Drosophila melanogaster: one gene and its partner. The protein of the gene in region 2 interacts with the protein of the main gene of each other region in a pairwise test. Each region holds a gene or a part of one and is shown on either strand. Other genes may lie near its edges. The genes, in order: CG13245 and CG9706.

Evidence for each region.
Region 1: the proteins of CG9706 (region 2) and CG13245 interact in a two-hybrid assay, tested with the Drosophila melanogaster proteins (one large-scale study listed by BioGRID).

What each region holds. Positions count from the first base shown.
Region 1 is NT_033779.5:16,002,119-16,005,964, reverse strand, and holds CG13245 (uncharacterized protein), read right to left. Parts: upstream 1,641-3,846; 5' UTR 1,272-1,640; coding exon of another isoform or gene 1,110-1,271; 5' UTR 950-1,109; intron 878-949; 5' UTR 856-877; coding exon 613-855; 3' UTR 504-612; downstream 1-503. Other genes in the region: CG31820 (uncharacterized protein), read left to right, coding at 1-59; CG43816 (uncharacterized protein), read right to left, coding at 1,110-1,271; CG34167 (uncharacterized protein), read left to right, coding at 2,521-2,904.
Region 2 is NT_037436.4:16,780,758-16,784,684, reverse strand, and holds the start of CG9706 (uncharacterized protein), read right to left. Parts: upstream 1,676-3,927; 5' UTR 1,440-1,675; intron 1,430-1,439; exon of another isoform or gene 1,378-1,429; 5' UTR 1,377-1,377; coding exon 1-1,376. Other genes in the region: CG9705 (uncharacterized protein), read right to left, coding at 2,847-3,021, 3,100-3,222, 3,895-3,927.

The DNA of each region.
Region 1 (3,846 bases), on a different chromosome or scaffold from region 2:
GTCCTCCTAACAGGTGCTGTTGTGCCGGCGAATGGGGTTGCTTTGGGCCTTTTTACTGAGAAACCCAAGGTACGACAATTCCTGAAGAAAACGACGTGAAATTTTTTTGTGCTTTTGGTTTGAACCACATTTTCACTTACACAATGGTTCGAGCTTTTCAATAAATTAATGTACTTAAACAAGTAACTTCTTATTTACTATTTGTCAAATTTCTTGAGAAATTTCATATTCCATTGATACGTATATGAAAAATAAGAAAATATACCAAAATCCTAGATAGCACAATCTTACTAGGATTGAGTATCCTAAGTATACCATGAGGTATAATTCTTTCTCTAATGGTTCTTGAAATTGTATGGCTCAAATTTAATATTCCTTTAAAAAAAAATATACTAAAATTGTCGACAGTTTTACCAGGACCAGGATACCGATAGGAAAAATATGAAAATAATTAGGCGCGACAGCGTAGGTACAAGATCTCTAACTAAGGAACAAACTTACTTAGTCAGTATTAGTCCCTCAAATTTTTATTGGTTTCCCATGGAAATGGCTGGTACAAGAAGATCTACACTGATAATTTTAGTAGTATAAGACCGCATTTCCTCCTGGCGTTTATTCGTCTTCCTTTTTTTTCTGAGTACTCGCCAGTGTGCAGAGCTGCGCATCCAGTGGAGACAGGATGTGCGGAACATAGCAGTTGTTGGTGTTCTTCTTGCGGCTAGTATCTAGAACATAACACTTATCGCAAGGACCGCAGGGCGTGGGTATAAAGTCCCGACCGGTGAAACGCAGTGTTGACAAGGGAGGATTATTGCAGGCCAGGTCAAAGGAGGCACAAGCCCAGCCACCACACATGGTTAGGAAACGGATGTGGGAACTATATGGAAATGTGAATGATTAAAAATAAAATTTTTAAATAAAATTTTATAAAAGCATAAATGAAACTTACCCCGGTGAACGTTTAAGGTTGTTGTTCCGACAAGGACTGGACTGGGACTGAATGATATTTGTTTCATGGCTGACAGCCAACAGTTCCCAAGGCCTACTTCAAGATAGTTGAATTCCGGACTCTCCACCCAACTCTGTGGCTACTCCAGGTCAGAGATCACCTAGCACCCGCAGCAGCCACCGCAGCAACCGCCGTAAATGGAACAGTCATCACATGGACCGCAGGGCGTGGGTGCGAAACAGCGGCCAGAGAATCGCAGTGTCGACAGGCGGGGATTGCAGCAGGCGATATTGTAGGAGGCACAGGCCCAGCCACCACACATCTTGACTTGGTTTAGGTTTTCCGAAACGTGTGCTCTTTTTACTATTGTTTTTTTTTTTTTTGGGTGGGGTGTATAGTTATTGGCCCTGGAGCAGACACAAAATCGAGTGTTTGGTGCCGAAGTGGAAAAGGAACTGAAGTGGATTGGGTTTCCCAGGGAGCAAAGGCGATTTTTCGCTCTGACAGCTATTGACAATCTCATCGACGCCGCCCTCGGGTTAGACTACGCTTTGGATATCTGGCCTAAAATGAAAGCTGGCTAAATCGGAACGAGAGAGTGGATGGCACCCTGATGCTGAAGTGAACTACATTTTGGAAGCCCTTAGCCGGGATCTTCAATCATATATACCATATTATGGCATGTTGTGGGAATATATAAATTAAATTACTCTATTGGTGTTCTCTGTGACACAACCAATCAAGTAAGCGTTACAAAATAAAGTACGAGATTGCATACTGTTCAGAACAACTTCATAATTCTATTACTTCTACCACGAGTTTTAACTCGGACCGTTGGCGATGCAAATTTCTATCCGCCGAATAACGAACCGTGATGAAAGTTTTTGCCACTCCGGTCCATGATACTTCAATCCAACTCCTATTCATCCAGGCGGAGACAATCAATTACAATATCTCCCGACGGACCAGAGGCCATGTAAGAGGGTGTCTGCATGTGAGGATCTAGTAGACAAACCCACGCATGGTCAACTGTGCAAATGTAACTGAGAGGACATGGGTTCGACGAAGCGTGGTGGTTCTGGTTGGATATTCCTAGCGACCATACGTCGGTTTTAAATGGTACCGCAAGGCAGGATGTGTAATTGAGATGTAATTTTAATTGCAATGTTTTGGTGACAAAAATAGAGTGATGGAATAAAAGTACTTTTATAGACTTTTATAGGAAGAAAAATCGTTAAGTTACCATATAAATTGCAAATTATACATGGAATTACTTAGTCTCCAATATATGTTTATTCGATACGATTCTAATTTAAAATGTTTTCAACCGCATGTATCCTTGCCTTTGGTGTCACTTTTCCAGTAAATACTTGAGGAAACTGCAAGAGTTTTTATTCGACAGGAATTATAAAATTTTCCCAGTGGACTTGTGACTATTGGCGGACAAAAAAGGTGCTAAATAGGCGCCTGGAGCTGTGAGCTGACTGTCCATCACTGCCCCGGAGTATTTAGCATTTTTTTTAGCGGCAAGTACTTAGCAACAGGTTGCAAAGGGCTAAGTAATTTCTAGGATGAGTTGTGCTGCACCGCGATGCCGACCGCAGTTTGGATCCTGTGGGTCTGGTTGTAAGCCCTGCGGCGGAGGTGGCTGCTGTGGATCCTGCTGTGTTGGTGGTTCCTGTTGCAGGGGCGGTACAGGAGGATGCTGCGGCGGATCCTGCGGCGGATCATGTGGCGGTTCATGTGGTGGATCCAGTGGCGGATGCTGTGGCCCACCGCCCTGTGCCGTGGTCTCGTACCGCTTGACCTACGGCCCCGTGGGTCCCCTGCTGCCCTGCATGAAATGCACCTGCAACTGCGGATGTTGCAGCGGCGGTTGTGCGCCACCTTTCTATTTTGTGCCGAACAAATGCAAAAATTGCTGGGAATGGGGCTGCTTTGGCCCGCTGTACTAATACCCTGTAGTACCCTGTTGTTGCACTTTTTATTGGAACTTTTCATATTTTTGAATGCAATAAATTCACGTGTCAGCCAGACTTGCATATTTGCGCCCATTTTTGTTGCCTTTCTGACAGGCTAACAAATGACCGGGGTCCAGTTTCAGGGTTGCCAAAGTTTGCGCCATGAAAATCATTTAACATTCGAACTTTTGTTAGCTAGCCCGCAAAAAACGAATGAAATGGGCAGGCAAAAGTTTCCATTCGAGAGACTAGCAAAACAATGGAAAAATGGTCAAAATCTGAAAGCTGCTTGTTTTGGTTTTGCATACGAAGCGAATGCAGGGGAAAAACAAAATATTCGTTCGAAAACCTTCCAATCTATTTGGTTACACGACGTACTTATGTAGGTCATGGATCTGACAGTTTTTGTTCAGCTATTCGGTTGTATTTTTTAGCCACGCTTGAATAGCGAAGACAGGTCAATTGAACGAACTTTTTGACAACGGTTCCAGTCACCAAAATATTTTCGTTTAAAAACTGCCACAGTTGAAAACAAATTGACGCGCTCCTAGCCATAAATTTCTTTTTTAATTAAACCTCAATGTAATTTGGTTCACAAACCAATACATTAGTTTTGATAAGGAAGCTCAAAAACAAAAACGCAAATGGTCTGATAAAAATTTTCAATTAGCATGATATTTCTTAGTCTAGTTATTGGCTACAGACCACTTTTCAATGGGAATAAATAATTTTTTCCAATATATTTACACGCAATATTTTAGAAACTTCAACTCCAAGCCGTGCCTTTTGTGCGCCTGCAAAATTTTCTTCATAATTCTAACTGATGGCCTTTTTTCAGTGGCGTAGGTCTGAACCAAATCTATGCAACAAATTAACAAGATCTGAATGAATATTTTACATTTTCTTTTCACTTACAATTGGCCATTCCATCACTTT
Region 2 (3,927 bases):
TTTTCCGCATTATTGGAGCACTGCTTCCAGGTGAGCACGTCCACCAACCACAACACCACTGTGTTGGGCCAATTACCGCCCAGATTGCACAATGTGTTCAAAAATGTCATGTAAGTGCCACCGACGGCTGGATCGGAGATCTTGGCGAAAAAGGCCATGGCGGCCACAAACATGGAGTACAGGAATACTTGGTAGATGGCATAACTGGTGATCAGCAGGACGTAGTAATAAGCAGGCACGGCTCCTCCACGGACAATATAGGGTGTGATGTAGGCCAAGCCAGTGGCCACTGTTGCCATGATGATGCGATAGGGAATGGCCTTCAGATAGACGTCCATCGGACGTGGTCCGTTCGTATATCGACCGACCGCCAGCGGCAGAATGAGCTGCAGAGGAATTAGGGGAATGGCGAGTAAAGCCAGCTTATCCTTCGGTACACCAGCGTCAATGAGTTTTAAGCTGGTCACTGCATCAGAGGCTGCGAACGTGACCTTCACGGTGAGCAGAATTACAGCCAGAATTTGGACGGGACGCATGCACACCATGTCCCACAATATCTTGTAGCTCTCATGGATGTTCAACTCGTGCTCCTCCGTGTAGCGAGCGTCCATATGCGCGTCTTCGATGTCGTTCTCCTTCTTGAAAATTGCCACCAAAGTAGTGGCTACCACAAATGTAATGCCCCAGAACCAAAGGAAACGGGGCAATGTGATCATGCCATCCTCGAGTGGCACGTCTCTTATGTAGGTGTTGCAGAAATCCTTGGACTCCAGGGCAATGAACACCACATAGCCCAAGAAGTAGCCAGCTGTTTGGCCCACGCTATTGCAGGTGGATGCGTATCCAACATTGCATCGCTTCAGCATGGTCAAGGCCCAGCCATCCACGGCGATGTCCTGAGTGGCAGCCAGGAAGTTAAGCAGGAAGAAGAGCAGCGTCAGGAGCGGCACATTGGGATCGACACCGTTCCCGCCCAGCCAGCGATCCACGTGGAGGGAGAGGAGTAACATAAAGGCTCCCAGAAGGTATTGCACTGGGACTAGCCACGATTTCCGGCGTCCAAATCGCCGGATGTACAGGGAATCCACAATTGGAGCCCACAGCAGCTTTAAGCTGAATGGCCAGTAGGCGAATGAAAACTCCGCCTGTTGTTTGTAGCTAGCTCCTCTATTTTGCAGCAACATTGGTATGGCTGCTATGAGCCCGATGGGAATGCCCTGTAGAACGTACAGGAACAGCAGTATGGCTATATTCCTCCGGTCTCCACGAATATCTGGTTTCTGGTGCTCCGCCACCTTTTCCGACTTTGGTGGCTCGTCGATGAGCAACTCCTGGTCGGCATTGCTGCCCGTTGGCTTTCTCCTTATGGCGGACATGCTGATCAAATAGCGATAGGTATATATTATAAAGACATGCTAGTTTGGGGGCCACAGGCTCACCTGTTTTTCTAATCACCAACAAATAACACCACGTCACTCAAATGTAGAGCTTTTTACGTATTTTCCCGATACAATTCCCTCGATGCCTTTAATTTGGTTAAATGTACGATCGAATGGCTTTCTGAATATCTGCCAGTTCGGTCTTTAATTAATTCATTTTCCGTTGAATCGGAATATTTTCTTTCGTGGCATATGTTTGTTGACGTTCCAATATATTTTTATAGCAACTCTCTGTCGCACTACGCATGCAGTTGCTATAAACCGCCGCATGGTCACACTAATCATTCGAAATTCAAACTGAGTGGCGGGAGACTTACGAAATGGAAATCCATAATTTTAGGAGTATGAGTTGGTTTGGCTATTTATGGCTCTACTTGATAAATTTAGCGGGCGGAAATCTTTAGGTATCTATTGTGGCAAAAAGGTTGGTTTTTTTTTATTGAATATGTTACGGTTTCGATTTTCTGCAGAACGCAGGAAATATATTTTCAATAGTGAGCCAAAAATTCATGTATGCTTTGGGCTGCAAAAAGTATCTGCTTTCACTGCAGATAAGATACACCACTAAATTAAATACAAGTTACAGCTGCGGCTAAAACAATATTTTGCCATGTTATGAATATCGTGATATTACAATCAGACATTAGCTAATATCTAAAATGAACATTTAGATGCCGTAATAAAAACGTAAGATTAATAATTTTGCATAAAATTTTATTAGAACACATACAAGCAAGCGGCTATTATGCTGACCGCAATTGTGCGTACAATACACACTCCATGCTGATAACTCCCACGCCACTCCAGAAAAATCACCGATGGAATTGTTTTGCAGCTGTTTTAATAATAAAGTGAATTACTGAGAGCATTTTGCTTGTTTGCTTCGCGAACACATTCAGATGTTTTGTTATAATTAAAAGTAATTACTGATACAGGGCACCACAGCATCGCAGGCGCTGTGCTAGTGGCTTCTCGAATAACAATTTCAATTTCCAAATACATACGCGCTTTTAATAATATACTCGAAACTGGTTGCGGTTGCTCTCCCCTCTTCCAGAGGGAAAGGCAATATTTGTGACTGCGTTTTGTTTGACTTCCATAGCTTAGCTTAAATTCTAATTAAGTGTTCAATTGAAACTCTTGTGATGCTGCTCGCTGGCTGGCTGGATGGCAGGCCTGTTGTTCCATTCTATTACGTTCTGGTCTGGTTTCGGCTTTTTCCTGGCTGCTTCGATTGCTGTGCTTTCGTTTACTTTCATGGTTATTGTTCTGTTCCGGTTTTCCGTTTCGTTCATCTCGGGTGGCGTGCTCTAGCTCAATTAAATTTCTTGGAAGGCCGTTCAGCTTTTAACAACACACTTTTCCGCTTCCGAGCTTCGAAATCTCCCAGGGCCACAAGCTTCAGCTTTACTTAGCGGGCGAGGAGCCACCATAGAATGGCTCCTCCCACTTGTGGTGCACCTCCGGCGTCAGGTGGCTAATCTGCACGTGCACGGCCTGGTGCTTCTCATACTTGGGCGGAATGGCGCACAGACGGTATTTGACCTCGTCCCCGGGCATGGGCACATATTCACCTTCGATGCTGTGGGAAGATTACATTTTTGTAGGTCTTACAGAGCCAGCGCAAAGGTCGCCGCGCATGCAATATTCATTCACTTACTCGGAAACGTGGCAAAAAACGTCCTCTCCGCCGGCGTTGGGTGTAATGAAGCCGTGTCCTTTGGTGCGGCTGAAGGATTTCACCATACCGGTCACAACCGGATTTTCCAAGGCCCGAGCGGAGCTATGTTTTTTCAGCGTTATTTTGAGTTTGCGCGTGTTTGCGTTTTGGCAGCGTTTGGGAAAAGAATTAAGCAGGAAGAGACAAGTTAATCAATGGAGGATGCGCATGGGGATATGAGGGGGAAGAATTTAAGTACGTGGATTATGTTCGAAAGGGTTCCGAGAGCTTATAAATTCGGCAGCGACTGATTTCTGAATGTATGTATGTATGTACAATGAAATAATTGAAAAAGTATGGGGTTTACAAATTTAAACTTTCAAAAAAAATGGTCCTTACGGTTATAAAAATATTTATAAGTATATACACATAAAAATAAATATATTAAATGTAAATGTGGAACCAATAAAGTGTTCCATGTTCGATTACTAATTACTGTTTGTTTCATTATGTTTGCTCATCTAATTCAACAAATGCAGTTTAAAACATTATAGAAAGCTTTTGCTTTAGAAATTACAAGCTTCCATGCTATTCTTTTACTATTTCAAAAGGTTGTATTTGGTTTTCATACAAAAGAGCGAACCTTGTGAAATAATGTGAACTTTCGGCGCCTATTTGGCCCCATAAAGGCTCTGCATAGGGGCCAAGTTCCCCTTGGGGTCAAGTGTGTGTGGGGCCAGTAGTGGGTGGGTGGTTTTGCTGGTTGGGTGGGCAGGGCAGTGCAGGAGGACTTACGTCGAGGCCGTGCGAGTGCGCCTCGTGATGATG